3 linked regions of the Stegostoma tigrinum genome follow. Each later gene encodes a partner of the first gene's protein in a complex. Links are inferred from orthologs where the notes say so. Each region holds a gene or a part of one and is shown in the gene's direction. Other genes may lie near its edges. The genes, in order: mcm3, gins4 and gins2.

Region 1 (7,714 bases):
TAGCCACTCCTTTGACTTGGCAGAAGTGAGATAAATTAAGGGAGAAATTCTTCAGTGAGAGAAGCTCTGAGGAGAGTGGTGGTAGATGGGGATTGTTCAGGCCTCTGGTTGAAAAAGAAGCTGAGAGCTCTCAGACCATCCTGGTGGGATAAGGACGTATAGAGGGATTGGACACCAATGGTGAACAGGAGGCAGTTAGGACCATGAAACTGAAAATTGTCAATATTGCAGAGGGCATCAGAGGAATTGCGGATGTAGGTAGGAAGGGTCTGGAAAAGTGGAGAGAGCATGGAGTCAAGATAATGTTCAAAAGTCAGAGAAGAAGCTGTTCTCGAATCTGCCCGTGCTTGTGTTCAAACCTTTATATCTTCTGCTGAATGGAAGTGGGTAGAAGAAGATGGAAGGATAGGAAGTATCTTTGATTATGTTGGTTGCTTTCCTGAGGTATCAGGAGGTATAGACAGAGTCATTTGAAGGAAGGTTGGCTTTTGAAATGGACTGGGCTGCATTCACAATTGTCTATAATTTCTCGCAGTTTTGGGCCGAGTGGTTGCCACACAAAGCTATGGTGCTTTCGGACAGAATGCTTTCTATGGTGCCTCTATAAAAATTGGTAAGAGCCCTTGTGGGCATGCTGAATTTCTCTAGCTATCTGAGGAAGTAGAGGCATTGGTACACTTTCTTGTCTGTCACACCAATGTGGGTGAACTAGGGCAGATTGTTGGTGATTGTCAGTCACTCCCAGGAAATTAAAACTCTCGAACATTGCTACCTCAGCATCGCTGATGAAAACAGGTCTGTGTCCTCCATTCCACTTTGTGAAGTCAATGACCAGCTTCTTCATTTTGCTGCTGGTGATGGAGAGATTGTTGTCTTTACATATGCTGTTAAGCACTCTATCTCTTTCCTGAATTCAGCCCGCATCCCTCTAAACCCTTCCTGTTCATGTACCCATCCAGATGCCTTTGAAATATTGTAATTGTGCCAGGCTCCACCACCTCCTCTGGCAGCTTATTCCATACATGCACAACTGTCTGTATGAAAAAGTTGCCACTCAGGTCTCTTTTAAATCTTACCCCCCCCCCCCCCCACCTTAAACTTATGGCCTCTAGTTTTGGATTTCCTTACTCTGAGGAAAAAGACATTGGTAATTCTCCCTATCCATGCCCCTAATGGTTTTATAAACTCTATAAGGTCACCCCTCAGTGTACAATAACAGATGAATGGACACTGTGCAACAATCGCCAGACAGGAATCTTCCCTCCCAGTGGCAGAATATTTTAGCAGTCAAGGACATTCAGCCTCTGATCTTTGGGTAAATGTCTTGAAAGTGTTGTGAAGTTGGTGTGAGTAAAATTGTAAAATGTGTCATTCTTTTAAAAGATTGTTGTTTTTCAGTGCTTAGAGTTAAAATGGATGACTGACAAGCACCTTGAAGTGGAGGTGCACACAGAAAGAGCTTCCGAATTGAAACATTTTGTATTAAACAGTCAAGCAGCATGTTTTGAGAAGATTTGTAGCTCAGGTTGAGGTTCTGGATGTGAGATTGCTCGCTGAGCTGGAAGGTTAGTTTTCAGACGTTTGTCAAGCAGCATTTCACCAAGACAACAAGTCTTTTCAAATTTAGCCAATTAATTTAAACTAAGTCCTTAGATACTAAAATATTGTCAAATTTAAATCTGGTGGTGTTGACAGCATCGACCACTTGAGAGAGAGAGAGAGAGAAAGAGAGAGAGAGAAATTGATTGTCAGAATCATCTATGTATTAGATGAAGCACCATCTATCCTAAAACAGTACCACGGCATTTCTAGCTAAAAAAAAACTCACAGAAGCAATTACAGAGAAAAACATCCCTGACAGCAGAATCAGTGAAAGATTAGATTCCCTTCAGTGTGGAAACAGGCCCTTTGGCCCAACAAGTCCACACGAAAGACATTTGTGGCATAATCAGGAAGGCAGAGCGTTCCAGAAGACACAGCTTACACAAACTTGGACAGACTATGTTTTAATTTATTACTGCGTTATTAAGTGGGTTTATATAAGTGGGACTTGTGTTTATTGAATAGCATTCTATTAGAATTTAGTTTATTAAGGGAATAGTTAGTCTGGGGGGAGGGGAATCGTTCAGTTTGTTAGTACTTCTCTTAATTTGTTCATTGTTAGAGTTGAATAAATAACTTTTTTTCTTGTGGATCAGGGATTTTCTTTCTTTTAATCACTCTTTTAACAGAATATGAGGGGAAAGGTGAGCTTCTCTGGGAGTTTTGGGGGTAATTATTAGAAGGGAACCTCTACTCCCATCATAACTGATTGGGGCTTGTGTTTTGGTCTAAATATCAGCAGAGATCAGCCATTCTCCCTCCATAAGAATTCGGGGGCTTGTCTGGGATCTGGATGGACTTGGACAGCTCAATTCTGGCTTCTGGACAAATTTGGACAGATCATGTCCACAATCTGGCTGTTACATGTGGTGGGGGAAGAACCTGAATGGATTTGGACACGTTTAAACAGACTTGGGGATTAATGTCCTAGATCTGTTCCCTGGGATGCTCACTGCAATAAACATCACCTGTACCTGAAGGACCATCAACTCAGTGAAAGCTGCTCTTTGGTTTTTTGCACTCGCCACACGGTGTTTCGCCCATATATCCCACAAAGGACTGTGAGTGGACTCTAAGTAGTGACATGAAATGATCTTTATTAACTATAATACCATAATAACAATTATGCTACAAACTAACAATTAATACAATAAATCTGGCAAGTAATACTGGAAATCTAAATCAGAATCTTGTAATTTAACTTAATTTGGAATGATCAAATATCACCACACTAAACCTTGGCTTTAATACACATGGTGATGGGCATCTGGTCTTCATCTTCCAGTGATTCCAAGGGCAGAGGTGCCCTTACAGCAGTTGGTCTCAGGTTACTGCTCCCAAGGGTGCTGTTGCAGTGATTCTTGTCCTTGGAAGCCTCTGCAACCTTTTGGGAGAATCTTTGATTCCCAGCAATGGATCAATCAAGAATCAATTACCCTGATTGATCAGACCCAATCAGACAGTACCATGCAAATGGTGGTGTGGCCTTTGGTCTTCCATTTCTGAAAGTGTTAGGGGTACATAAATCAGGTAGGCTTCCCAGATATCAGACTGAGGTGTCCCTTTATTCTGGAAACAGCTCATTATTTTCTATTGTCCTGGTAAATAGGCTTAATCAATTGCAAATTGTACCACCTGCAGCTGCAGCCTGCCTGTCTGCGTCTATAGGTTGTTTATTTCAGTATCTTTGCACAGATGCTTCAGCCAATGCTTGGCTTGATTTCCCAGCATGTTTGGTGTATTATCCAATACTGCCATTTTTTAGTGGCCCGTTGGGCTACAGGTACGCACGGACCTTGTTGATCCTGACCGAGTGTTGCAGACTGGCACATTCCAAGGTCCAGGATTATGTGCTGAGGGATGCACACTAAAGCTTGGGGAAGCTGCTGTCAAAGTGTCGTGGGGGAAGAGCATGGTCTGAAGTCTTCCTGCTGAAGATAAATGAGAGTCCATTCAGTTAATGGATCCTCCCAGTGTGCCAAATATTTGTGAATATTGGTATTGTATGTGTGAGCAGTCTTTGAATTTGCGTACAGTCAAACTGCAATGTTTTGTACAGGAACAAAAACAAAGTTGCTGGAGAAGCTCAGTAGGTCTGGCAACATCTGTGAAGGAGAAAACAGAGTTAACGTTTGGGTCCAGTAGGCCACCAGTGACCTACCAGACGCAAAATGTTACCTCTGTTTTGTCCTTCACAGATGCTGCCAGACCTGCTGAACTTTTCCAGCAACTTTTTTTTTGTTCCTGATTTACAGCGTCCGTAGTTCTATTTTTATCCAATGTTTTGTATTTTGTTGACATGCAGCTGTGCAGAACTCCTAAGATGCTGTTTGGCCTGCTGCGTTCATCCAGCTCCACACTTTGCTATCTTGGATTCTCCAGCGTCTGCAGTTCCCATTCTGTCTGAACTGTTTTTGTGTCAGTGTATGTATACAAACTTTATGAATAAAATGTAGCTTTTTGCAATAAAAAAAGAGATTTCACTTAAACATATTGGGCTGTAACCTGGTGTCGTGTGACTTCTGACTAAGGCAGACCTAGTCTATTATTAGAAACGTGAAACCCCTGACCATTACAACCCTTTAACTCTGACTTTGAAAGCATCTATCGCATTTGATTACAGGGAGACTCGGATCCTTTGTTGCGTTAGTCCCTTTAAATAGGCGGAACCAGAGACCGGGGCGGGGTCCGTCTCAGAGGCGTGGTCTATGGCCAGGGCCGGGCCAATGCCGTGGAGGAGAGATCAACGTCGGGGGCGGAGCCAGTGTTCAGGGGCGTGGCCGTCGCACAAGGGACATGATACAGTGACCAAGGGGCGGGCCCTGTATCCAAGGGCGGGGCCAAGCGTTCAGTCTCGGCTTCAGTGCCCATAAGGCGGACCCTACGTCCAAGGGGGCGGACCCTATCTCCTGGAAGCGGGCGGGGTCTGTGTCCATGAGGCCTGGGCTGGCGGTGACGGGGCGGGGCAGTGCGTGTCAATGTGACCGCGGTGCATTCTCCGATTGGTCCGGGGTTTTTCGCGCGGAAGCCGGTCCCACGTGACTCAGTTTGGCGGGAAAGCGGCGGCGGTGAAAATGGCAGCGGTGGAGGATCCGGCTCTGAGGGAGGCTCAGAGACAATATCTGGACTTTCTGGATGATGAGGTGGGGGCTGTGGGGGAATAGGGGTCAACGCCGGCGATGAGTTTGGGGGGGGGTGCGGGGTACTGGGCTGGGTGCCTACCCTACTCCATGGGCATGTGTTTCCTATACCCCTCCCCGGGAGGGTGCGACCACTCGGCCCGTCCGCCTTGTTCACCCTGACCCTTCCACCCCACTTTGCACACCACTCCCCCATTTCGACTCCCCTTACCCAGCCCCTCCCCCATGCCCACTTCCCCTCCCTTATACCCCACACAAACCATCCCCTTCACCCCCCTCCCCGACCCTCATCGCCCCCCCCACTTCCACTCGCCACCTCACCCTCCTCCCCCCGCTACTTGCCGTTCCACTTGCACGCCCCCACCCCATTTCACAACCCTCCACTCACTTCTGTTGTGCTTCAGGTGACCCTTTTGACCGTCTCCTAGCTTGAAGTAAAACAAACAAGTACAGCTGCTGCAGATCTAAGACGAACAGAAACCGAATTTGAAACTCAAAAGGCTGAGTACATCCGTGGGATGAAAGCAGAGTTAATGCGTTGAATCCGGTGACACTTCATCCAGGGCTCCTGCCTTCTGATTTTTATTCCTGTATCCCTTCCCAGTTGCCAAGCAACATCCAGCGGTGTTTACCTGACACCTGCTTCCCTTGGTTCATAATTTGACTCAAAATGAATGTTTGAAATGAAGTATACATGAGTGCACACAAACGAGGAGCAGAGGAGGCCACTCAATCCCTCAATCTGGCTCTGTCTTTCAGCAACATCAATGCTGATCAGATTGCTTTTTTTTCCCGGCTACCTGCATAAACACTTCTTCTCTCCTCGCTTATCAAGTAGCTGTCTATCCCAGCCTCAGAAAGATTCTGAGTTATTCTGTCACCATGCTGAAACCAACATGCAAAGAGACCAGAAATGTAAACAGAGTGTTGAAAAAACTCAGCAGGTCTGGCAGCATTAACATTTTGTGTCTGATATCTTATTCAAGAGAACCTACAGCATGTGATTTGCAGCAGTTTAAGAGGGCAGCTCACCAACACCTTCTCAAGGACCACTAGGGACAGGCAGTAAATGCTGGCCTGGCCAGTAATGCCTATATCTTACAAGTGAATTTCAAAAAAACAGTGGTTCCAAAGATGCTGCCAGACCTGCCACGGTTCAACAGCATTTTGTTTTTATTTTATTAATTGTGCACCTGTTCTTGGGTGAAGCTGCCCCTGACATAACCAAATCAGTCCAACTTGAAAGCGGTCACCTACATCAGAGATGGTTATATCCCTGATGGTGATTTAATCAGTTGCTTTGATAAGCTTTTAAAGAGTAAAGGACCAGTTGAAAGAATTTCGGGCTAAGGTTTTTTGCATTCTTGCCAACAGCAAGACCAGGGGATTTACCAAAGTAAGGTGAGGGACATGATCAGTGACAACTTGTACCGACTGATTGTCAACATCAATGACCTGCGCAGGAAGAATGAGAAAAGAGCGACACAGTAAGTACCTTGCTCAGATAACAAGGTGTGGAGCTGGATGGACACAGCAGGTCAAGCAGCATCAGAGGAGCAGGACAGTTGATGTTTCAGGCCTACACCCTTCTTCAGAAATGCGTCTAGGCCCGAAACATCGGCTTTCCTGCTCCTCTGATGCTGCTTGGCCTGCTGTGTTCATCCAGCTCTACACCTTGTTATCTCAGATTCTCCAGCATCTGCTGTTCCTACTATCTCTGAAACAAGTACCTTGCTCACTTGTCTAACCTGAACCCACTTCACTTCCACAGTCCCCCTTTACTGTATACTGCTCTTGCCTGATGTTAAAAATCTTGCTAAATAGGACTTTAGTGTGCCTGAGCATGCTCTGCTGTTCAGTGCGATAATAATTGATTTTCATTATCAACTGCCACTTTTTCTTATCAGGGTTTCATATTCCATTACTCCATCTCAGTACATAACAAAGCAGTTCATGCTCTCTTGGGCAGCTTTCTGACACTTTTCTCCATGGCATTTAGAAATGGACAATAAATGTTGGCCAAACCAGCAGTGTCCACATCCTGTGAATAGTTAGGGGGGAAGTAAAACAAACTCCAGAGAGACTCAATCCCCTGAGTGAGGAACTTTCTCATCTGTTTGAAACATATTTTAAATGTGCTCGAGGTGGCGGAATGATCATGAAGTGTATGTTGTTGGATTGATATGGATGTTCCAATCTCTTGTTCCAAGAGAGGTACAGCACCCCTGGAGACAATTCAGCCCCTGCTCTTTAAAGGATCAATCCATTAAGCCACAGTAGTCAGCTCTGTCACCACCATCCTGCAAACATTGAATAGATATCTTTTTGGAGCTATCACTGAATCTGTAGGCATCACCTTTGAGTGCATTCCACGTCAAAGCTCACTTTTCTCTTAAAAGAAACCTCCTCATGTGCCCTTGGTTCTTTTATCATTCTAAATCTGTCATCTCTTGTTACTGACCCTTACTTCCCTCACCACTGGGGGTTGAGGTAGTATATCTTTAACATTTGAAAACCTGTTGCAGATACACTGAGCCAGTTAACCTTTGTCTAATTTTCTCAGACTGCTGAGCAATTCCTTTGAAGAACTCCTGGCCTTCCAGCGAGCGCTAAAGGACTTTGTTGCCTCAATTGATGCCACCTATGCCAAGCAATTTGAGGATTTCTACATTGGACTGGAAGGCAGCTTTGGATCCAACCATGTCAGCCCACGGACCTTGACCTCTCGGTTTCTCAGCAACGTTGTGTGTGTGGAGGGAATTGTGATCAAATGTGAGTCTGATTGGGTGAGACTGGGTGCTGCTCTGTGTTTGCATTTTGTTTTGTTCGTGACTTCGGCGAACACTCCTTGCAGTTGGTTCTCATTGATTGAGGAAAATGAGGTTGTTAATAGACAGCTTGTAACTTAATGGTGTATTGTGAGAACTGTTCACCTGTGGTAATCTTAAACTGAATACTCACTGCTTTTTCAA
Region 2 (7,994 bases), on another chromosome or scaffold:
AAAGAGCCAGTTGTAACCAGAAGGTGGCAGTTCTGAGCTCCTTTGGAGAGACTCAGTGAGTGTGTGACCCCCGTGAATGGCAGGCCCAGAAAGAGCCAGTGCTGAGCCGGAAGATGGGGGAACGTTGTCAGCTCTGAGCGTCAGAGAGCATTATCTGGGCAGGACCGAGACTGCACTGAGCGGTATTTATGTGGCTTGTTGTTTGTCTTTGTCTTGAGTAGCGTAGACACTGAACCCCGCGGAGAACATCCCAGGAAGGACCCACTTCCCTCTCCACCCCATCCTTCTAAACCTGCTGCTTGTCTGAAGTCATCGTGACACGTGCTCTTGTGATCGTCTGTTTGCATTGAATGTGTTTTGTTCAAGAACTTGACATTGTACAATATTCATGTACTTTTTCAAATAGAAATAAAGACTTTTTTTAAAAAAATATGTTAAGTGCTTACTCCTGTAAGTGTCCTCATTTAGCCCTTGGGGGTGGGTTTGGTCAATGTGGAGGGGGTGAATGACTTTAATAACATGATCTGGGAAGGATCAGGCCTCTTTTTCACTTACACCTGATATTTCACAGTCTAAAACAAGGTTTGTGGTTGCACTCCCTGCTTAGTATTTCATATAAAACCTGCTGTTGTTCCTCAGCTTGAACTTCAGCCTGAGACCCCTGTGATCTCTGGGGACGTGGTGTGCAGGTGTGTCGGTGGTCAGAGGTTGGTGTCCCCGACGGTCAAGATCCAAGATCTTAGTCTCGATGCGTGCCAGGGAAGGGGCTGGTTGTTCTCCCCTCTGCTGTTTTTGGATTAGATTGTGTTTTTAGCAGGCCAGGAGGCTGCTGATAAATTGCTAACTTGGTCAAACAGCAATGGATGCTGAGTGCATTGGCCAAGTGAAACTCTGAAATCACGAGGACACGGCAAACACAGCAGCCTGGTGCTGATGACGTGAGCCGAATGTAAAAGGCAACAGTGATCCTGGACAGAGACATCCCCAAAAAAGTGTTGTAACATTAAGGGGCCAAATGGGATAAAAGAGAGTATGTTTAGCATTAAAGCTGATTGCAGTTTCGTTCCGAATAAAGTGGGGTTGTTTTCCTTTGGTACTGGCTTGTGTTTGTAGTGATCTGACCACTGTGGGGCATCTGGACAAATTATGTTCAAAACATTCTGGCTGCATTCTGTAATTTGTTTAAAGAAGAACAGTGGTAATGTCTTTGCAATCCAGACCCTCCAAACGAATGCTCTGGGGACAAGGGATCAAATCCGACTATGGCAGCTAGTGATATGTTAGTTCAGTTACAGAAGCTGGACTGAAGATCTAATCTAATGTCGAACGTTGATAACCAACAATTTGTCCTGAACTTCCCACATAGAGGCGACAGTCAAGAAAGCAAAACAGCACCTCGTCTTCCTCGGGCAGCTCAGGAAATTCAGCATGTCCGTGAGGACCCTCACCAACATTCACAGATGCACCATTGAAAGCACACTGTCCGGGTGCATAACAGCCTGGTAATGGGAACTGCTCCGTCCAGGACCATAAGAAACACCAGAAGGTGGTGTGCAAGCCCAGACCATCACAGAAGCCAACCTTCTACCCATGGACTCCCATCCACATTTCTCATTGCTGTGGAAAGGCAGCTGATGTTATTGAAGACCCCCCTGCCCCCCGCCACATCCCAACCCCAGTTCTACTCTCTTCCAATCTCTTCTGTCAGGCAGAAGATACAGAAGCTTAAACACGCATGCCAACAGGTTCTAGAACAGCTTCTTCCCTGCTGTTATTAGACTGCTGAATGGACCTCCCCAATTTCAAATCTAATGTGTTTCGGTGCACTCCTATACAGCTGTAACCCTGTATGCCATGCTTTGTTTGAACACCCTGTGGTCTGTATGTTACGATCTGCCCCTACTGCTCGCAAACAAAACTTTTTACTGTGCTTAGGTACATGTGACAACAATAAATCAAGTCAAACCATTGTCCGTTGATGATGAACAAAAACTCATCATGTTCACTGATGTCCTTTAAGGAAGGAAACTGCCATCCTTACCCAGTCTGGCTGACGTGTGACTCCGGACTTGCAGCAATATAGTTGACTCTCAACCCTTCTCTATGCATTTAGAAGACATCCCGTAAACAGATACATCAACAGTTTTCAGCCCTTCATTTCTGCAGAAGGACCTTGACCTGAAATGTCAGCTTGCCTGCTCCTCCGATGCTGCCTGGCCTGCTGTGTTCATCCAGTTCCACATTGTGTTATCTCAGACTCCAGCATCGGCAGTTCTGACTGTCTCGAAACAGTTTTTAGCTGTTCATCTGCAGCTCCAGTCTAATTACTTGTTTAAAAAAAATAGTGATAGCAGGTGAAGAATTAGTTTCCAAAATGGATCGTTGGACAGGCTGTGCTTGAAGTCTCGGAAGTGGAAGGGGATGGATTTAGTGGCAGATGCACCAGACTAAGCAGGGTTTCCTCAACTACTGACTCAAGAGGGATTGAAAACGAAAGCAAGGATCTTGAAAGTAGAGCTAAGGGAAAAAATGAGACCTATAGTTGTTGAAAATGCTTGAGCTACAGGATCTTCGATCACCTTAAATCTGTCTGCTGCTTAGGGTAATGAAACATCTGCTAAGTAATGAAGCAGCTCAGCGAGTGAACGAACCACAGCATTCACAACCTGAGCTACAAATCTACTCAAGAACCGGAGAAGCTGACTCAGGAGCGGCACAGTGGCTCAGTGGTTAGTATTGCTGCCTGACAGTGCCAGGGACCCAGGTTCGAATCCACCCTTTACGTGGAGTTTATATGTTCTTCCTGTGTCTGCATGGGGTTTCTGCCACTTCCTTCACACACTCCAATGATGTGCAGGTTATATGGAATGGTCATGTTGTAGTGTCCAGGGCTGCACAGGCCAGGGATACGGTGGGGTCTGGGTGGGATGTTCTTCCTGCGGACTTGATGGGCCAAACAGCCAGCTTCCACACAGTAAGGATTCTACAAGGAAACCACTTGCAAAACCTATTCTTGATGGAGACAGGAAGGTATGCACAGGGAAGATGACGTTCGATGACAGACCTTCATGGGGGAACAGCACCTCTCTGACCTTGCAAAGATAGGCCCAAGCTGAAATAGAGTGGCATTTAAGGACAGTGAGCTAGGATGTGGTGTCTAAAGAGACATAAGCATTTAATCTGTACTTAACAAAAGAGTCTGGCAAATCGATCATACGCACTGGACAGCTGGCCATTAAAGGTCAAGCAAGCATTATAATCACTTTATCCGTGACCATAATACTAAGGTTTTATCTGAAATTATCACTTTGTAATACACTAGTACCGAAATAAAAATTAACTGTAATGGTTCCCAAACAATATTGATTTGCATTCAGAATCTCCCTTTTGCCTAACTAAGGATGGATGAACATAGGCAAAAGGAATAGATTAAAAATGGGAGATTTTTTCAGTTTTGCATTTGGCAAGTCTCCAACAGCAATTATAATTCAAGATTCCATATTTGAATGTGTTAATTTTTAATGCCAAAAGGTCATTTGTGAAAGGGTTTAAGACTGGATTTTCAGAATTTTACTTTTCTGTGGTTTATTTCCAAGTTTCATGTTGACTATTGTAGGAAAAGTGGACAGGTTAGCACTGAGAAATGGTGAACTGTAAATGTGACTATTACAGAAATGATCCTTTTTGTTTGCATAGTGCCAGAGACAGTCTACTTCTTAATCTAATCTGTCATTGCCTGTGGCCAATAGCAACAAAGGGCAATGTACTCGTATTCATTTTCCACAGTGAGGAATGATGCATAACCACTTGGGTAAGGTTTTAATGCAAACAGCTGTATTAAAACACTGAGGAAGGAGATTGCGCTTAGGCACAATTGAGGATATGTTCCTGCATTCATGGCCATTGTAAGAATCAAAGGAACCTTCTCTCTATCTTCGAGACACTACATTCCAGATAATAATTTGCAGCCTGCTCCTTCTGCTAAAATTCTCTTCACTCTCCATATACATTATTGAATAATGTCAAATTTGACCTAATTTAATGAGCAGCAAAGTTATCCACTGGCTGAAAGATCACTTGAGGAATAAGGTTCTCATTGTCACCCTGTCCTAAGATTTCAGGGTGAAGGGTTACAGAAAATCAGGTTGTGATCAGAAAACCGAAGAACTGTACAGCACGGAAACAAAACCTTCGGTCCAACTGGCTGCAGCACAGACACCAGAACTGAATGCAGTGTTCCAAAAGTGGCCAAACCAATGTCCTGGACAGCCGCAACATGACACCCCCAGTCCTATACTCAATGGTTAGAGACAAAAAAACTAGAATCTGGAATCCAAGGTGGACAAACAGGAGGCTGGAAGAACACAGCAAGCCAGGCAGCAGCTGGACGAAAGGAGAAGTCAACATTTCCGATATTACCCTTCTTCAGGACTGAGGGCCTGGCTTGTTGTGTTCTTCTGGCCTCCTGTTTGTCTATCCTTTCCTCAATGCACTGACCGATAAAGACAAGCGAACCATCGCCTTCTTCACTACCCCGTCTCCCTGTCACTCCAAAGAAATCTGAACCTGCACTCCCCCACGGCATGACCGTGAAGTGTTTTAGAGAAACAAAAGTCGATACACAGTTAAGTTTTCTATGTTTTTTTAAAAAAAATTCACAATTCAGTCACGTTCAGGGGGATAACAAATCGAAGGAAAACAACACACAAACTTAAGGACAATGCAATGGGATGGGCTGGACTAGTTTCCCTTCGTCAGGCTGCAGACAGCTACATCCGCCTGGAAGAAAGATGGCGACGATTCCAATGGTCACAGGGGTTCGGCGTGGGGGACGCGGCCTTGTCTGCGCGATGACGTCAGACGTTCGGCGAAGCGGGCGTCCTCGCGGTGCGGTGAGGTTACCGCGTTCGGGACGTGTGTCCGGATGTCAGTCAGGAGGCGGGTCCACGAGGCGTCGGGCTGCGCGGTGACGTAAACGATGGGGGCGGGTCCCGTGCGCGATGACGCCAAACGTCGCGGCCGTGGCGGGAGTTTGCAGTTGAAGCCTCGGGTCTGCGTGAGTGACCATGTCCGTGGAGGTGATGGTGGGTGGAGAGGGCCTTGACGACGAGGAAGAGGAGGAGATCCTGACCCCGGCGCAGCTCATTGCAAAGCTGGAGGAGGTGAGGGGGGAAGGTGGGGTTAGGCCTTGGTCGCTGCACAGTAAGATCCCACACTGAGCACGGGCTTTTCCTCCTGACTCCCCGCAGACCCTGTCCCACCATCGACAAGTCAGGAGGGCGATGGAATACCCCCCACTCGCCCCGGATGGGGGCAGCTCCAACAACAGTCGAGAAGCTCAACACCATCAGGGACAGAGCAACCCCCCCCCCACTCGATTGGCGCCACATCCTCAACCATCCCACTCCCCCACCCCCAGCACTCAGAGTCACAGCAGTGTGTACTGTCTACGAGATGGACCTCAGCAACTCACCGAGGCCCCTCAGGCAGCACCTTCCAAACCCACCACCCACTTCCATCCAGAAGGACAAGGGGCAGCAGGTACATGGGAACAGCCCCCCAAGCGGGTTCACCCTCTGAGCCCCTCATTTCCCCCCTGACTTTGGGAAACATATCGGCCGTTCCTTCAGTGTCGCTGAAACCCTGGAACTCCCTCCCTGAGGGCACCGTCCCCTACACCCCATGGGCTCCAGTGGTTCAACAAGGCGGTTCACACCCACCTCGAGGCCTGTGAATAAATGCTGGCCCGGCCAGTGACACCCACACCCTGTGAATTTTGTTTTCAACGCATCCCTTTCGCTGGTAGACACTTGTTGTTGGTTTGTTCCTGAGACCACCCTGTCCCTGCACAGCAGAGGCTGAGAGTTTTCTCTGTCAGATTTATCTCAGGAATTCCTAGACTTAATTGTACATCTCACATTGATTCCAGTGTTTGGTGGTGTGCTATCTTCACGCATTCAGACTTTGCAGAGGGTGTAGAAAGTGAGGTAGTAATGGGGTCATGGACTATATTATGTTCGATTATCCTGATGTACTTATGGAAGTTATGATGTGTCCGGTTACTCCCATTAACCAGTATTTTTTGCTGTATCTCAATACATGTGACAATCATAAATTGAATCAATATACCTGATATGTAAAACAATAATACTGTATCTGTCTGCAGTCTAGGTTTTGATCGCTCTGTGATATTCAATTTGGGATTGTGTCTGCTCCTCTTACAGTTACTGTCCGTGCCTGTCTTTCATCTCTATACAGGCGTGGCTGAATGAGAAATTTTCCCCTGACCTTCTTGAACATAAGGCTGAAATTGTGGAGTGTGTCATGGAACAGCTGGATCACATGGTAACAGTTTTGTATTTTTCGTTGGGGGAGAGGAGGTGACACCTGTTCGGTGCAGTTTTGAATTTGCGATTGACGGGCACGACCAGAATCTGATTTCCCTGCCAAATGAGATGATAACGATTTGCTGTCCTGGAGTTACCTGGCAGTGCAGAAATTGATTTTTGCTGAGTTACTCAAGTCATCAGGACGTATGCCAGAATGCCGAGTTTCAAACAGTCATAATGATTTCTTTTTTTGGGAGAAAAGGGAGTTGATCAGTTGGCATGTCAATTCTGACTGGTTACAATGTCAACATGGTGAAAGCAAGGGGGAGCAAGAGTTCCCCAACGTCCTGGATAACGCAATTAACTCCGCAAAGGCCAGTATCCCACCACCAAGTCACCATTCATTTACACGTGCATAGTATATGACACTGAGCCGGTTAGCTCAGAGCCAGCTCCTAGAGTGAGCAGAATGCCTAAAACTCCTGTATATGTCTGTCAGCTAGGTCATATTCTGTGAGGTCCACCTGGCTGACCTTGTTCCAATCATTTTGAGTGCAAAGTGGTTCACGGTAATCGCAACTTTGCAGTCATGGCTCACCTCTCAACCTCCTATGCTCCAGTGAAAAAAGGCCTTGCCGATCCAGCTTCTCCTTATAACTCAAACCTTCCATTCCCGACAACATCCTGAGAAATCTCTTCTGAACGCTCTCCAGCTCAATAACATCCTTCCTATAACAGGGAGACCATAAACAATGAAGTCAGCTGTGCTAAACACCTTAACCATCATGTGTACATGTGACGCGAGCTTTGAAAAATTATGTACCTGCATCCCTCTGTCCTACAACACTACTCAAGGCCCTACTATTATTTGTACAAGTCCTGCCCAAAAGTGCAATACCTCGCATTTATCCAAGTTAAAATCCATCTACCATTCCTCAGCCCATTGGCCCAGTTGACCGAGCTTGCTTTGTGATCTCGGATAACCCTGTTTACTGTTCACTATACCACCAATTTTAGTGTCATCTACAAACTTACTTAAGATGCCTTTTATATTCTCTTTAAAATCATTTCTATAAATGACAAATAAACGTGGACCCAGTACTGATCCCTGTGGAACACCACCGGTCATGGCCCCCTGTCTGAAAAACAACCCTCCACCACCACTCTGTCTCCTGACATTAAGCCAATTTTGATTCCAATTGACAAGCTCACTCTGAATCTCATGTGATATAACTTTTCCAATTAGTTGATCATGCAAAACCTTGTCAAAGGCTTTACTAAAGTCCAAGTAAACAATATCTACTGCTCTGCCATCATCAATCTTCTTAGTTACTTCCTCAAAAAACTTAAATTAGTGAGACACAGTTTCCCTCGCATTAAACCATGCTGACTATCCCCAGTCATTTCTTGCATCTCCAAATGGATGTAAATCCTACCTTTCAGAATCGCCACCAGCAGCTTAGCTACCGCTGAAGTCAGGCTCACAGGTCTGTAGTTCTCAGATTTCTCTCTGCACTCCTGCTTAAACAGAGAAAGGAATCTGCAGGGCTTGAGGTGAAAGAGCATAGCCTGAGTCTAAAACTGGAGAATTTCACGACAGAGCCAGTGTCAGTACAGTGGGCCGAATGACACAATCGGGTGCTGGTTGTGTTCTCAATGTGACAG
Region 3 (7,822 bases), on another chromosome or scaffold:
TCAAAAGTGTCGCCACTGGTACACAAATGACCCACAGTCATGCGTGTCTCTTTGTGGGGTGTGTAAAACACTCCCTGTTCCAGTCCTGCTCAAGCATCTCCCTACAACTTTGCTGGTACATGGGTGACATTATTGGTACTGTTTCCTCTCTCATCCAAAACTGAAAACATTTATCAATTTTGCTTCCAATTTCTGCCCCACTCTCACCTTCACCTGGTCCATCTCTGACTCCTCCCTTCCTGTTTCCATTTCAGATGTTAGGTTGGCCAACAATATCCATTACAAACCAACTAACTCCCACAGTTATAAGAGATAATGGGAACTGTAGATGCTGGAGAATTCCAAGATAATAAAATGTGAGGCTGGATGAACACAGCAGGCCAAGCAGCATCTCAGGAGCACAAAAGCTGACGTTTCGGGCCTAGACCCTTCATCAGAGAGGGGGATGGGGAGAGGGAACTGGAATAAATAGGGAGAGAGGGGGAGGCGGACCGAAGATGGAGAGTAAAGAAGATAGGTGGAGAGGAGAGTATAGGTGGGGAGGTAGGGAGGGGATAGGTCAGTCCAGGGAAGACGGACAGGTCAAGGAGGTGGGATGAGGTTAGTAGGTAGCTGGGGGTGCGGCTTGGGTGGGAGGAAGGGATGGGTGAGAGGAAGAACCGGTTAGGGAGGCAGAGACAGGTTGGACTGGTTTTGGGATGCAGTGGGTGGGGGGGAAGAGCTGGGCTGGTTGTGTGGTGCAGTGGGGGGAGGGGACGAACTGGGCTGGTTTAGGGATGCAGTAGGGGAAGGGGAGATTTTGAAACTGGTGAAGTCCACATTGATACCATATGGCTGCAGGGTTCCCAGGCGGAATATGAGTTGCTGTTCCTGCAACCTTCGGGTGGCATCATTGTGGCAGTGCAGGAGGCCCATGATGGACATGTCATCTAGAGAATGGGAGGGGGAGTGGAAATGGTTTGCGACTGGGAGGTGCAGTTGTTTGTTGCGAACTGAGCGGAGGTGTTCTGCAAAGCGGTCCCCAAGCCTCTGCTTGGTTTCCCCAATGTAGAGGAAGCCGCACCGGGTACAGTGGATGCAGTATACCACATTGGCAGATGTGCAGGTGAACCTCTGCTTAATGTGGAATGTCATGTTGGGGCCTGGGATAGGGGTGAGGGAGGAGGTGTGGGGACAAGTGTAGCATTTCCTGCGGTTGCAGGGGAAGGTGCCGGGTGTGGTGGGGTTGGAGGGCAGTGTGGAGCGAACAAGGGAGTCACGGAGAGAGTGGTCTCTCCGGAAAGCAGACAGGGGAGGGGATGGAAAAATGTCTTGGGTGGTGGGGTCGGATTGTAAATGGCGTAAGTGTCGGAGGATGATGCGTTGTATCCGGAGGTTGGTAGGGTGGTGTGTGAGAACGAGGGGGATCCTCTTAGGGCGGTTGTGGCGGGGGCGGGGTGTGAGGGATGTGTTGCGGGAAATATGGGAGACGCGGTCAAGGGCGTTCTCGATCACTGTGGGGGGAAAGTTGCGGTCCTTAAAGAACTTGGACATCTGGGATGTGCGGGAGTGGAATGTCTTATCGTGGGAGCAGATGCGGCGGAGGGTGGAGGAATTGGGAATAGGGGATGAAATTTTTGCATCTCAACAAAGATAGGGACCACTGGTTCTCACTTTCCGATTCACCGGTATCCGCATCCATAAGATCATAAGCTGCCATTTCTGCCACGTCTAGTTGAATGTCACCACTCAATACATATTCCCTCCCCTCTTTTGTCAGCTTTCTGCAGGGACCGTCCCAGCTGGGACATCCTGGCCCACTCCTCCTCCACTCCCACCATGTCCTCACATGCCCACGGCACCTTCCGCTAAAACTGCCAAAGGTGTAACACCTGCCCATTTACCTCCTCACTATCCAAGAGTCCACACACAGATGAAGCAGTATTTTACCTGTATTTCGACAATCTAGTCTACTGCATTCTCTGCTCACAATGTGATCACCCACACACTGGGGAGACAAAACACAGACTGAGCAACTGTTTTGCTCAACACCTACTTTCTTTCAATAAAAATGGCCTCAAGCTTCCAGTTGGCCGCCACTTTGACATACCACTGTGTTCCCTGGCCAATATCTTTGTCTCAGGCTTGCTGCATTGCTTCAGCAAGGCTCACCGCAAGCTGGAAAAACAGCATTTCATTGGCTGCTCAAGCAGCGCCCCCCCCCCCGGAGCCTTGAGGACTCGATATCGAATAAAGCCTGAACATCTTCTTCAATATCCTTTATCCACCCCTACAACCCAGGTCTGTCATGATAAGGGCTGCTTTCAGCACTGCCAACTCAATTTTACTCACTTATGGACCCCTTCATCAGCTTTTGATCGAGTTGTACAGTACAGAAACAGGCCCTTCAGTCCGACTTGGCCAACCGACCAGACATCCCTGTCTGACCTTGTCCCATTTGCCAGCATTTGGCCCATATCACTCGAAGCCCTTTCTATGCATGTACCCACCCGGTAAATATTTTAAATGTTGTATTTGTACACACCTCCACTACTTTCTTTGGCAGCTCATTCCATACATGCACCACCCTTTGTGTGAAAAAGTTACCCTCCAGGTTGTTTTTTAAATCCGCCCCTCTCACCTTAAACCTTTTCCCTCTAGTTTTGACTCCCCTACCCAGGGAGAAAAACCTTGATTATTCATCCTATTCATGCCCCTCATGATTTTACAAGTCTGTATAAGGTCACCTCTCAGCCTCTGATGCTCCAGAGAAAACAGCCCCAGCCTATTCAACCCGTCCCTATAGCTCAAACCCTCCAACTCAGCAACATCTTTGTAAATCTTTTCTCAAGTTTAGCAACATCCTTCCTAAAGAAGGGCAACCAGAATATACATTTTCTCCTTGCCTGGCTTACTATCATCAATCGCTTTTTCTCCTTAACTATCTGTCTCTCTCTCTCTCTCTCTCTCTCGAGTCTACCTCCATCAATGATTTTGAAGAAAACATGAACTGCAGATGCTATCTTCTTACTCCTTTAGCTTCCTCTCCCCGCCCATCTCTTCAGGTTATAAACAACTTTTCCCAACATCCATTGTTTCTATTCTGTTTTTGTCTCCACTGATGCTGTCAGACCTGCTGGGTTTCTCCATCAATTTCTGTTTTTACTTTAGACAACGTAAACATTAAGCTTGTTGGCAAAGGGGGAAGGCCTTGCAAGCAAGGGGCACGGCTTGCAACGGGGGACTGTCAAGGGGCGGAGTCTGTGCCTTGATTGGCGTAGTCTGTTACTAAGGAGGCATGGTCTTTATTCAAATAGGCCGAGCCTGAAGTGTATGGACAGGGAATGTCCTTCAAGGACCGCACCTTCCCCCCCCACAGTGGTCAAGAGTGCCCTTGACTGTGCTTCCCGCATTTCCCGGACCTCATCCCTCGCAATAACCTCCATAAGAGAATCCCCCAGTCCTCACGTACCAGCCCACCAACCTCCAGACACAATGCATCATCCTCCGACACTTCCGCCATCTACAATCCGACCCCACCACCTAAGACATTTTTCCTACCCCACCCTTGTCTGCCTTCCGCGACTCCCTTGTCCGCTCCACGCTCCCCTCCAATCCCACCACACCCGGCACTTTCCCCTGCAACCGCAGGAAGTGCTACACCTGCCCCCACATCTTCTCCCTCACCTCCATCCCAGGCCCCAACATGACTTTCCACATTAAGCAGATGTTCACCTGCACATCCGCCAATGTGGTATACTGTAACCACTGTAGCCGGTGTGGCTTCCTCTACATTGGGGAAAACAAGCGGAGGCTTGGGGACCGCTTTGCAGAACACCTCCGCTCGGTTCGCCATAAACAACTTCACCTCCCAGTCGAGAACCATTTCCACTCCCCCTCCCATTCTTTAGATGACATGTCCATCATGGGCCTCCTGCAGTGCCACAATGATGCCACCCGAAGGTTGCAGGAACAGCGACTCATATTCCGCTTGGGAACCCTGCAGCCCAATGGTATCAATGTGGACTTCACCAGTTTCAAAATCTCCCCTTCCCCTACTGCATCACAAAACCAGCCTAGTTCTTCCCCTCCACCCACTGCATCCCAAAACCAGCCCAGTTCTTCCCCTCCACCCACTGCATCCCAAAACCAGCCCAGCCTGTCTCTGCCTCCCTAACCTGTTCTTCTTCTCACCCATCCCTTCCTCCCACCTCAAGACGCACCTCCATTTCCTACCAACGAACCTCATCCCGCCTCCCTGACCTCTCCCCTCCCCACCTAAACTCTCCTCTCCACCTATCTTCTCCTGTGTCCATCTTCGGTCCGCCTCCCCCTCTCTCCCTATTTATTTCAGAATCCTCTCCCCATCCCCCTCTCTGATGAAGGATCTAGGCCCGAAACGTCAGCTTTTGTGCTCCTAAGACGCTGCTTGGCCTGCTGTGTTCATCCAGCCTCACACTTTGTTATCTCGGATTCTCCAACATCTGCAGTTCCCAACATCTGTGGGATAGGGAATGTAGTGCAGTCAGTGGGCGGGACGTGGCCGGGAACGGTGGGGATCGTAGTCAGGGGCGGGCTCCGTCGTCAAGGGGCGGATCCCTACTCGGGGCGGGGTGACCGTTGTTAGAGGCGGGGTCCGTTGTCAAGGGGCTGGGTCTGTTGTTACGGGGGCTGGGTCAGTTGTCGCGGGGGCGGGGTCTGTTGTCAAGGGGGCCGGGCCAGTTGTCAAAGGGCCGGCTGAGTGACATCACCCCTATTTCCGGTGGTGTTTGCGCGGGAAGCTGTCTCAGGCTTCAGGCGGGTGATTTAAACCCGGGAGCGAGCGGTTAAATGCGGCAATGGACCCTTCAGAAGTGGAGTTTCTCGCAGAGAAGCAGATTGTGACTATTATTCCCAACTTCAGCTTGGATAAAATCTATTTAATAACTGTGAGTGTGTTTTGTCAAGTTGCCCCCTCTTGTGGCTCATGGGCTATGATTTATATTTTAAAGCATTTTACACATGGAGCAAGTTTAAACTAAAAGGCCAGAGATTTATAATCAATGATAATAAATTATGTGTAACAAGTGCTGTAGAGTTGGAGGAAATATTTTCCTACAGCCTGTTGTTATTGGGATCAACAAAAATGTAAAATGTTTAGAGCAAGAGATCTCTGATTGTCTTCAGATTAATTTGGATCATTCCAAATCACACTGACTGACTGACTGACTGACTTTTTTCAAAAAAGGTTTGTGACTTGAAATGTAAACAAGGAAGCTCCACGTCTTGAAACATTTTAATCCTTATACTTGCTCCTAATAATAGACAATAATTAGGCAAGTGCAAATTGACAAGTTTGAAATCCAAAATTAAACAAAGGGCTGCTGATGCTGAAGATCTGAAACAAAAAACAGAAATTGCTGGAGAAGCAGAGCAGGCTCCAAACATAGCCTGGTATGCCATAGTGCTTCGCTTGGAGAAGAATTTGTTAAGTGTGCAGAAGAAAATTTACCTCTTCAGAATATGGATGTACTTACTAGAGAAATAGCAAAAATTAGTCCTTCTCTTGGGAAATAAGGCAGGTGACAGTGGGAGCTACTTTGGGGCCAGTGATCATAATTCTATTAGTCTATAAGGTTTTGGAGTAGATTTGTAGTTCGGGTTGTGGATGTTGTGGCTGGCTCGCTGAGCTGGTTCTTTGTTTTTCTGCAGATGTTTCATTACCCCGCTGGGTAACTTCATCAGTGTCTCTGATGAAGTACCGTTGTGTTTTCCCACCTGGTTTTTAAACTGGAGTCCGTTGAGCTGGATTACCTCATTTCTGGTTTTCCTTTGCAATGGCGTGTATATGGGGTCAAGTTCTCTGTGTTTGTTGATGGCTTTCTTCTTGGAGTATCAGGCTTCTAGGAATTGGAAAAGGATAGAACTGATCTAAAAGTTGAAGGTCTAAATTGGAGTAAGGCCACTTTTGATGGTATAAGGCAAGAACTTTCAAAAGTTAATTTGGATGTGGATATTTGCAGATAAAGGGATGGCTGGAAAGTGGAAAGCCTTCAAAAATGAGATAACGATAGTCTAGCAAAAGTATGTTCCACTCAGGGTGAAGGTTGGTGGGTGTAGGGAATGCTGGATGACTAGAGAAATTTAAGTTCTGGTCAAGGAAAAGAACGAAGCATATGTCAAGCGTAGACCGCAGGGATCAAATGAATCCCTGGATAAATACAAGAGCAGTAGGAGTAAACTTAAGAGGGAAATCAGGGCAAAAAGGAGAAATAAGATAGCTTTGGCAAGTAGGGCTTAGGATTACCTAAAGGGGTTCTACAAATACATGAAGGACAAAAGAGTAACTAGGGAGAGAATGGGGCCCCTTAAAGTTCAGCAAGGCCACCTATGTTTGGAACTGCAGGAGATGGGTGAGATACTAAATGAGTACTTTGCATCAGTGTTTGGTGTGGAGGAGGATATGGAAGCTAGACAACTTGGGGAGATAAATAGCAATATCTTGAAGTGTCCATATTACAGAGGAGGAGGTGCTAGATGTCTTAAAATGCATAAAGGTGGATAAATCCCTAGAACCTGATCAGGTGTGCCCAAAACTTTGTGGGAAGCTTGGGAAGCCATTTGCTGAGATATTTGTATCTCGGATAGCCACGGGTGAGGTCCCTGAAGACTGGAGGTTGCTACCATGCTGCCGTTATTTAAGAAAGGTGGTGAGGAAAAGCCAGGGAATTATAGACCACTGAGCCTGACATCAGTGGTGGGCAAGTTTTTGGAGGGAATTCTGAGGGAGAGGGATTTACATGTATTTGGAAAGGCAAATACTAATTAGGGATAGTCAACATAGCTTTGTGCATGGGAAATCATGCCTCACTAACTTGATTGAGTTTTTTGAAGACGTGATGAAGAGGTTTGACAAAGGCAGTGTGATGCGTAGTGTCTGAATGGACTTTTTAAGCCATTCGACAAGGCTCTGACTGGTAGACTGGTTAACAAGGTTGGAACACATAAATACAGGAAGAAGTAAACATTTGAATACAAAATTGGCTTGAAGGTAGGAGACAAAAGGGTGTTGGTGGAAAATGCTTTTCAGACTGCGGGCCTGTGACCAGCAGTGTACTGCAAGGATTGGTGCTGTGTCCACTGCTTTCTGTCATTTATAAAAATTACTTGGATGTGAACATAGGAGGTATGGTTAGTGATTTTGCAGATGACATCAAAATTGGTTGTGTAATGAACAGCAAAGTGGGTTATCTGAGAGTAACGGAACCTTGATCCGATAGGCCAATGAGCCAAGGAGTGGTAGATAGAGTTTAATTTAGATAAATATGAGATGCTACATTTTGGTAGAGCAAATCAAGGCAGGACTTGTACAGTAAATGGCAAGGCCCTGGGGACTGTTGCCAACAAAGAGACCTTGGGATGCAGCTTCATAATTCCTTGAAAGTGGAGTCACAGGTAGACAGGGTAGTGAAGAAAGTGTTTGGTACACTTACCTTCATTGGTCAGAGCATTGAGTATTGGAGTTGGGAGGTCATATTCTGCCTCCACAGTACATTGGTTAGGCCACTTTTGAAATACTGTGTTCCATCCTGGTCTCCCTGCTATAGTCAAGATACTGTGAAACTTGAAAGGGTTCCAAAAAGATTTAAAAGAATGTTGCCAGGATTGGGGAGTTTGAACTGCTGGGAGGGGCTGTTTTCCCTGGAGCATCAGACGCTGAGGGGTGACTTCATAGAGGTTTATAAAATCATGAGGAGTTTGGTAAGGTGACTAGTCAAGGTCTTTTCCCCAGAGTAGGGGAATCCAAAACTAGAGGGCATAGGGTCAAGGTGAGAAGTGAAATATTTGAAAGGGCCCGAAGGGG

The links.
Region 2: mcm3 (region 1) and gins4 share a complex: the UniProt entries of both Homo sapiens proteins name them as parts of the CMG helicase complex. The link is inferred for Stegostoma tigrinum from reciprocal best matches to the Homo sapiens genes MCM3 and GINS4.
Region 3: mcm3 (region 1) and gins2 share a complex: the UniProt entries of both Homo sapiens proteins name them as parts of the CMG helicase complex. The link is inferred for Stegostoma tigrinum from reciprocal best matches to the Homo sapiens genes MCM3 and GINS2.

What each region holds. Positions count from the first base shown.
Region 1 is NC_081362.1:96,837,976-96,845,689, forward strand, and holds the start of mcm3 (DNA replication licensing factor MCM3), read left to right. Parts: upstream 1-4,635; 5' UTR 4,636-4,676; coding exon 4,677-4,745; intron 4,746-6,116; coding exon 6,117-6,229; intron 6,230-7,305; coding exon 7,306-7,514; intron 7,515-7,714. UniProt on the Homo sapiens protein: Acts as a component of the MCM2-7 complex (MCM complex) which is the replicative helicase essential for 'once per cell cycle' DNA replication initiation and elongation in eukaryotic cells.
Region 2 is NC_081393.1:15,624,632-15,632,625, reverse strand, and holds the start of gins4 (DNA replication complex GINS protein SLD5), read left to right. Parts: upstream 1-4,989; 5' UTR 4,990-5,066; coding exon 5,067-5,162; intron 5,163-6,258; coding exon 6,259-6,345; intron 6,346-7,994. UniProt on the Homo sapiens protein: Required for correct functioning of the GINS complex, a complex that plays an essential role in the initiation of DNA replication, and progression of DNA replication forks.
Region 3 is NC_081369.1:52,205,232-52,213,053, forward strand, and holds the start of gins2 (DNA replication complex GINS protein PSF2), read left to right. Parts: upstream 1-4,735; 5' UTR 4,736-4,817; coding exon 4,818-4,907; intron 4,908-7,822. UniProt on the Homo sapiens protein: Required for correct functioning of the GINS complex, a complex that plays an essential role in the initiation of DNA replication, and progression of DNA replication forks.